Canis lupus familiaris: one gene and its partner. The protein of the gene in region 1 interacts with the protein of each later gene in a pairwise test. Links are inferred from orthologs where the notes say so. Each region holds a gene or a part of one and is shown on either strand. Other genes may lie near its edges. The genes, in order: HOXA1 and RGS17.

Region 1 (4,522 bases):
TCCTGATCCAGTCTCAGAGCCATCTTTACAGATTATTTTGGAGTTTTAGTTGTTCTAAATCTAATCCAACGACCCTCTATGTGATTTCCTGAAAGCAATATATGAGGCCTGCAAGAAAGTGATCATATAATTGTATCTTCACTTTCTTTTTATTTTTGTATTACATTAGGATGCATTGTCATGAGTATTTTTGGTAGAATAAATTCTCCTTTGCTATAAGTAGCTTCTTATTTTTTTCTCCCCCCTCTTTCTCAAGGCTCATAACGGTTTCTTTTTCTTCTTTTAGTCTAACTTGGTAAATAAAATTCTGGTCACAATCCATCTTCTTTTTCCATTTTAATATATTTATTAAGGGGGCATGTTCAAAGTCTTCAACAGACAACAACAAAAAAGAAAACCAGAAAATGGTTAGGACTTCTGAGAAGTGTTTTTTTTTTCTTTCCTTTTTTTCTTTCTTTCTTTTTAAAGGGAATGGATTTGGTTTTTCAGTGTAGAGGTTCAAGCCATAGATTTAAATTGGTGATAGAAACAGAATTGGGTAGCCCCAGAGCTGAGCCAAGCCCAAGCTTTTGAAAGTGGCGAAATAAAGTGCCTACAGAAACCCCCAACTCCAGGAAGGAGGAACATGGAGTTTCTTTAACAAGCTACCAGTCTTCAGGTCAATAACTAAGTTATCAAAATTCATTTATTTATACACATTTGTTTCAAACATCTACATTCCAACCCCTCCCCCACAATCCCGGAAACATTTTCAGTGTGGTTGATTAGTCTCCCAGCTGTTGATGGGTCCAGGCAAACAGACCTAAAAGGTAGAGAAAAACAAAAACAAAACAAAACAATGGTTACTAGCTGGAAAATGCACTTCAGAAAGGGTTCTTTCCAATCCTTTGGTTCAGTCATTCTAGGATTCTTTTTTTCAGGGTCAGAAAAATCAATATTTCATTCTTAAATCTGTTTACATGGCAAATAATGGATCATTAAAGCTGTGAAGTCAGGTTACCAAGTTGAGATTTTAAATGGAGAGTTTCTGCGCCCTAGGTTATAAATTAACCCAGTTTCTAGAAAGAAAGAGAACAAGCACTTTAAATAAAATATCAATAAAATGTGATCTAGGGCACGTTACTGGGTTGTTCTGGTTCTTTCCCCCTTCTTACATCTCCCCATGCTGATCTTTCCCTTACTGAGCTCTGCCGCGATGGCCACTTACCGTGAGAAAACGCAGCGTGTAAGCAACATGTGTGGGGGGCGGGTTGATTTAGGAGCCCGGCTCTTAATAGCTAAGGCTCGGAAGTTACAAAGAAATCGCGATCTCTCTCCATGGGTTTGCACCCTACCTTCCTCCACCCTTTTGCCCCCTAAATCCTGGCAGCGGCCGAGGCGTGTGAGGACCCGGGCGGGTCTCCAGCTCCAGGCGCGGAACTGAGCAGGGCGGCCCGGCCGCAGCCCCGGCTGAGCCGCTGCTGTTTGCGATTCGTCCTACGCTCATAAATCAAACGCTTTCTATGAATGAGAATGTCATCAAAGAGATCAATTGCAGGAACACATGCACAAATAAAAATCCTCTTACGTATTTGCCGGGGATCCCCGTCCGAAAGCATTAAGTTAGAAGGCGTTTAGTCATAATTCATTTTTATTGCTCTTTTAAAACAACAGCTTGGCTGAGCCGCGGATGCCATGAACAGCTCCGGGCCTCGGCAGCGTTTTGTCTCCTCCTTGCTCCTTTCCTTGCTAAGAGCAGAGCCCTGGAAGAGGCGCTTTGAGCCCAGCAAGCCGCTCGCAGGTCCTCGTTTAAATAGCGATCGAGCTCTCCTCTCGCCCACTCTCTCTCCCGGGGCATTTAAAGGGACTTCAGCTCGAGTCGTGGGGCGCTGGCCTACACGCCCCGAGGCCCAGGGTCTTCTGCAAGGCGGAGTGAGCCCCAGGATTTCGTGGGGGTGGGGAAAGAACCGAGCTACGGAAGCCTTACGGGCCCGAGGCCAGGGGAGCCTGCCTTTGTAAGCCACACCGGAGAGCAGCGCTCCGGGCGGCCAACCGGGGCGGAGCCGGCTGGGCTGCGAGAGTCCGGCGGGCCGGGAGCCGGGAGCCGGGAGCCGGGAGCAGTGCGCGGAGGTGGGTCGGTCGCGGCCCCGAGCGCTTGCGGGCCTGTGTGCAAGCGCATGCATGTGGTCCCAAGAAAAACACCCCCACCCGTGCTGGCTCTGGAATGAGGCCCGGAGGGAGGAAGAGAAGTGGAAGGAGTGGAGCGCAGAGGCCGAGAACTAGCAGAGGAAGGGGAGCGATTGCGGCCCGGGGCGCTTTGTGGCGCGAGCCCTGCGGCCAAGGGGGTTGCGCAAACCCGGGCTGAAGAAGCCAACAAAGGAGTGAGGCCAGGGGAAAGGACGTCCTTTGGTTCGGAAGGCAGATCGTCCGCAATGCCAGCACGGACCCTCTCACGTTCCACCTCCTTCCCGACAGGAGCCCCTCCTCTCCCCGTCGCTGGAAGCCTGGAGCTCCCAAAGAAGCCGCCTCCAGAAGGGCCGCCTTTCCTTTTCCCTTCTCGAAGATGAACGTCCCCAGGTGCTGAAATTGGGGCAGGAGTGACCTTTCCTGTCCATGCTCTCTCTTAACCGGGGTTGGGGATAGGTCAAAGGTCATTGAAAAATACCATTTCAAAAGGAAATGTTGGGGGGGAAATGTTTCTTTGCTACTGAGGGAATCCGTAGTCTGACTTCTGCAAGAGTTTCCCCTGGGGGAAGGGGCGACTTGGGAGGGGGGAAGCCTTCTATAAGTGGAGAACAGGATGGAGAACCCTGAAAGGTTGACTAACACACTTGAAATGTGCCTGCCTCGAGCAAAACTTTCTTCTTCTAACTGGGGAAGGAAAGCTAGAGGGGAGTGGGAACCCCATCCTCAAATTACTTTTATCTGTTCGATTCCGATGTGGTACACAGGGTCAGAGACAAATCTATGCTGCATTGGCTGCAAAGCTTCTTGGATGATCTCTGGATTTCTTTTACCTAAGAATGCATCAATCCTCGGTCTCAGTTTGGCATTTTCTCTCTACAAGCCAAGGGTTGACACGAAACCTAATAGTAAACAGCAATTAACGACCCCGTCAGCATCAGGGTAGGATGAGGGTGATGGAAAACAGGACCCCTGGCCTGGGATGACGCTCAGATTTGCACGTGTCTCTCTAGGGAAAGACTTGAAGGTTCACACAAGGAACTACACAGGCAGTTACAAAGGGGAGGAGGTGTTGGGGAAGAAGAAAATATCCCGTCCACCATCAGCCATCTGTCCCCCGCCCCTCCCACCTGCCAGCCCCTACCCCCCACCTCAGACGTGCAGTAGAAAGGGGAGGGGGCGGTCAGTGGATAAAGGAGGCCCTACCACTCCCAACATCCCCCCTGCAGAAAACGAGCACCGTTGCGGGGGGAGCTCAGCGTATTTTGTTGGAGCTGCGGGCTCGCCCTTTGAGGCCCCTGCCGGAGCGCGCAGACTCCTGGGTCCGGGGGAGCCGGCAGATGGCCTGCAGCGCACCGCCCGGCCCCCACGCTGGCCACGTCCGCTAGCGTCATCTTTCTCCCCCGCCTCCAACCCTTCAAAATCCCGCGGCCGAGCTGCTCCGGATCCCGTAGGGCTCCCGGAGCAAAGCCGAGTGGGGAGGAGAAAGGGGCGGAGAGCGAGGAGAGAGGGAGGGCGAAGAGCCCGGCCACCCCCGGCCTTTTCCGGCCAGCTGAAATACTACCAATCACCCGCTCCCGGGCGTCGAATTACAGAAGCTTCTCATTGCCTTGCTAATAATGTTAGGGTGGAGGGAGTAGGGTTCGGAGACCCTCCTTGGAGAAGGGAGGGTTTTTTTTGTTTTTTTGTTTTTTTTCTCCCTTGCTCTTGTCCCCTCCACGCCCACCTGGGGTCCTGCAGGCCAATCCTCTGCCCACTTCCCTCTCCCTTCCGAGCTTGAAGAGCTGGTGGCCCAGCCTCGTCCTACGCCACTGTCCCCTGGGCTTCTCGCTGCCCCGGCACCGCAGCAGGGACTGTGGACTGAAAAGCGCCCGGGGAGCTGCCGTTCCTGCTCCGCGCACGGCGAGCTCGGGCCCCGAGCTGGTGGCAGGGCGGCGAGCTCTGGCCCGCTGGTTCCCGACCCCGGAGAGACGGAGCCCTCTTCCCTTCTCACCTCTCGCCAGTTCATCTTTCTGTGCTCGGTGGGGAGGGGGCGGAGACGGGGATGCCTCCCAGCCCCCACCTCCCGGAGGGGGGGAGAGCGCAGTCGGCGCGCGCAGAGGGTGGCGGCTGCTCCCCTTCGGCCCAGCGCTCCGAATCTGCCCCTGCAGCCGCCGCAGCTGCCGCCGCCGCCTGGGCTGCCTGGGGGGGCGACTGCGCGTCACCTAGACTGAGCAGCGCCGGGGATTTAAATGCCACTGAAACGGTGATCCATCACCGCGGGAGCCAGCAAACTTTCGCAGGAGGCTCCGCCATTGGCTGGCGGAGTCACGTGCCCCTCCCCCTGCGCCCTCCGCCCTCGCGCCCCCCCTCTTGCGCA
Region 2 (3,808 bases), on another chromosome or scaffold:
CTAGGAATTCTGCGAAGTCATGTATCTAAAAGGGAGAGAATGAATTTTAGCTTTCCACAGGGCTAATTTCAGTTGTGGTGGGACAACTTCTCCTGAGGAGAATGAAGAATATCCAATGCAGTGGGCCAAATCTTGTTAACAGTGGTGTATGAGACTATTAATTCAATCTGAAAACTAAGAAGCTTTGGAAATGGTTCATATCAAACCTGGAAATGAAAAGTTTGGAAGTGTCATCTTCAAGTGGACAGAACAATGGACTGGATATTAAGAGACTTGCATTTTAGTTTCACTTCTGTCACTAATGAGCTTCTTGAAGGTAGGCAAGCTTCAGTTTCCTTATTTGGAACATCAGACACAGCATTTTCCAGACATCATTTTCTAACAAGGCCATTTTTTCTTCCAGCCAAAAGCATGGCGTGCCTGAGTAGTGCAGTCGGTTAAGTGTCCAACTTTTGGGTTTGGCTCAGGTAGTGATCTCAGGGTCGTGAGATCCAGCCCCGTGTTGGGCTCCATGTGGAGTCTGCTTAAGACAGTCTCTCCCTCTCCCTCTGCTCTTCCCCTACCCTCTCTCTCAAATAATCTTTAAAAAAAAAAAAAAAAAAGCTTATACCTAAGTCTAATATGTAAAATAGCTAGACAGAGCCATTCCTTTGGAAACTAGAAGCAGAGAGCCCAGGGCTGCAGATCCCAGCCCCAGACCCCCCTGGAGTCATCCCCTCACCTCCACCACACGGCATAAGAAGTCAATAGGACCATTCTGGAGAGATGAGAGCTGATGTCTCTTGAGTTCTGATTTTTCATGGTTGACCATGGAAATCTGTCTTGCTTGATAGGACACAACCAGGAAAACAAGAAATCAAAAAAGGGATGGATTAGCACCTAAAGATTTCTTTGAAAAACATTTTAACATAACCTCTGATGTTAGGAGAGAGCTCATGGGACAATTTGGAAATAGACATAAATTTTGAAGGCTCTACTTTCCATTTCCTTCTTGAGGCACTTTGCTTTCAGGAGCCCACAGCAGTTTCTACTTTGAGATGGCACACAGTGTGCCATCTACAGTGCATTGTGTGGCAGGGGCCTCACTGCCCTCTACTGTCCTAGAGATGGCAGTTTGGTGGAGAGCCCACAACTTTCAAAGACTTCTTTCTCATCAAGAAAAGGGAAGAGGGTTAATTACCTCTGTATGAATCCAGACATAAAAGGAATATTAAGTTTTCATAGTGGCAGCCTTGAACTTTTAGACAAGTGGTCTTGACAAAATCCTCTTTCCTTCTGGTCAGTACTAAGCATAGTCCCACATATAGAAGGACTTGTAAGTTTATACAGGGTTTATATTGTGGCCAAAACTCAGACCTCCGTGATTCATTCATGTTACAACAACTAACATGCTCTAAACCACATTCCCTTGTTTTCTCCCCTTGAAATGTAAGGCTGTGGGGAGAAAAGAGAAGTAGACTGATCTGAAGACAGAAGTGTTTCCTTGAAAGGAACAGAGAACAGATTGGCTTAACAAGTCATTACAGATTAAGTCTCAGCTTTTTAGACTTTGGAAGGAAACCGTGGAAATATTCAGCAGTTTTGTACTTAATCTCTATATCATCCCCCACCCCCAAAAGCACAGTGGTCATTTTATTACGACACAGTTAAGTTTAAATATGGGAGAGGAGCTGATGCTGAACTATGAAAGATAAATGCAAATTTGAGGGAAACACTATGATGTTGAAAAGATCCATAACATTGAAGGCCAGGGTGAGGTTTTGTATTTATTACTCGATATAGAAATTTACTTTCCTAGCATTTTATTTCCTTAAAAGGAGGAGAAATCAGCTACGTGACAACTGCTCCTTTTTACAAATGATAGTTACTTCCTATTTTGATTTCTAACTTTATTTTGGTCCCTAAGTTTAACATTTTTTAGTGTTTCTTTCTATTCTGCTCCTCTGACCTAGCCTGGAAAATTTGAAGAACATTTATTTCTTTTGTTTTCCCACTCTAATAAGGCTTTAAATATTTTTTCTTAAACCCAAAATAGAAAAATGATATTTTCAAAATGCATTTATTAAGGAGATTCTCATTTGCAATGAGATAACACTGTCACAATTAGAATCCATAGTTCAAGACGATTTTATTCTCATTTTTTTCAAGTTGTTTACATTAGAAATTACCTCTGATTTATCATATATGGAAGAGTTTATACATTTATAGACTGTGTGCTTTATGGCTTAGACTCAGGCACCCATGACTCATTGCTAAAAAACACAGTTCTCGACAAGGACACTTAAGTCTAGAACTCAGAGCCCTCATCCAGTGCACCAAATGTTTTAAGCTCAAATAGGCATCAACTCAGAGGTGTGGAGAGTTCATGCAGCTTCCAAAAGCTGTTTTGTTTTCCATCCATAGTCCGTTTTCTGTGACAATCTCATGCTCATGAGCTCATACTGAATGTTTTGTTAGTGTGTTCTTTAAGATTAATAAAAGCAAGTCTCACTAAATATATGCAGGAGAGGGAAAAAAAAGGAAATGTCGCCAAATAGGTGTTTGACAAGCAAATGAATATAGCGCAACACAACTTCCATACTCCTTATCTGTTTTGATGTTATAATCCTGAAGCAATTCAGAAATAAATTTTGGCAGGTAAATAAAATCATATACTGATTCCTGGAACATAGCCATAGTACAAATGAGAAATAGAAACATAATCTCCAACACTATGTAACAATATATTTGGGATGTCTCTTATAGAATCTAAAATAAACTAGCTTTCCTTTTGAAGATTAGTTTTTATATTATATTCATAAGTAGATCTTTAAAAAATACATATACATTATTTCAAGCGAGCTCCTCTTTAAGGAGATTTTATTTTCTCCAATATGAAGTGTTCTATCCAGTGAGCTAATTAATGCAAGAGAGAGAATGAGAGCGAAAGAAAGAGAGAGAGCACGAAGGCAGAGGTGGGAAGGTACAGAGGGAGAGAGAATCCCAAGCAGACTCCATACTGAGTGCAGAGCCTGATGCAGGGCTCAATCTCATGACCCTGAGATCATGACCTGAACCAAAACCAAGAGTAGGACGCTTAACTGACTGTGTCACCCAGGTGCCCCCAGTGAGCTATCTCTTAGATGCATACAATGTGTCAGGCACTGTTTTCAGCCTGTGTTTTATTTCATTTAATGTACAACAACCTGATGAAGTAGGGATTCTTATGACTGTAATTTGATATATGAGGAATTTGAGGACATTAAAATAACCTGTTGAAAGTCAAACAGATAGCGAGCATGAGTCAGGCAGTCTGACTTCCAAACCACCATATTAAGGCATTACGCTTTACTTCATGGATTCAGACCAAAGTTAAATGATCTCTTTAGGAGTGATAAAGGAAAAAATATTCACAATTTTATTGAAATATTTCCTTCTTCTAAAACTCTATTTCCTCCACCTGAAATAGTGAAGGCTTAAAAATGAAAGAAAAGGAGTCACTTATGACTTTCCTTAACAAAGAATCATCATCTGGGAAGCAGTTTTGATATTTATAAAAACTAAACCTTCCAAGTTACTAAAATGTCTGATGGTTTTTTGGAAATGAAGGTTCCTAGAAGGGATAGAGCTTGTTCAACACCAACACTACCACTAAAGCGTAGCACGTTTCATCTATTTTGGCCACAGTGATAGAATATTATGCCACCAAATAATACCAATAACTGTAGAGATCATATACAAGAAGATGATTCAAGCCTTTGGGCCTTTCTTCAGAGTTTTGACATAAGTCAGGGAGATCCAGAAGACCACTAACTAATTCAGAAGATCC

What was found.
Region 2: the proteins of HOXA1 (region 1) and RGS17 interact in binary tests that used the Homo sapiens proteins (3 or more experiments, as listed by UniProt). The two-hybrid records come from large-scale screens. The link is inferred for Canis lupus familiaris from reciprocal best matches to the Homo sapiens genes HOXA1 and RGS17.

What each region holds. Positions count from the first base shown.
Region 1 is NC_049235.1:40,366,310-40,370,831, reverse strand, and holds the start of HOXA1 (homeobox protein Hox-A1), read left to right. Parts: upstream 1-1,654; 5' UTR 1,655-1,951; coding exon of another isoform or gene 1,952-2,601; exon of another isoform or gene 2,602-3,970; coding exon of another isoform or gene 3,971-4,083; exon of another isoform or gene 4,084-4,225; coding exon of another isoform or gene 4,226-4,344; exon of another isoform or gene 4,345-4,437; coding exon of another isoform or gene 4,438-4,458; exon of another isoform or gene 4,459-4,522. Other genes in the region: WAS/WASL-interacting protein family member 1-like, read right to left, coding at 1,952-2,601, 3,971-4,083, 4,226-4,344, 4,438-4,458. UniProt on the Homo sapiens protein: Sequence-specific transcription factor. Regulates multiple developmental processes including brainstem, inner and outer ear, abducens nerve and cardiovascular development and morphogenesis as well as cognition and behavior.
Region 2 is NC_049222.1:43,600,473-43,604,280, forward strand, and holds part of RGS17 (regulator of G-protein signaling 17), read right to left. Parts: intron 826-3,808; exon of another isoform or gene 822-825; coding exon 722-821; intron 1-721. UniProt on the Homo sapiens protein: Regulates G protein-coupled receptor signaling cascades, including signaling via muscarinic acetylcholine receptor CHRM2 and dopamine receptor DRD2.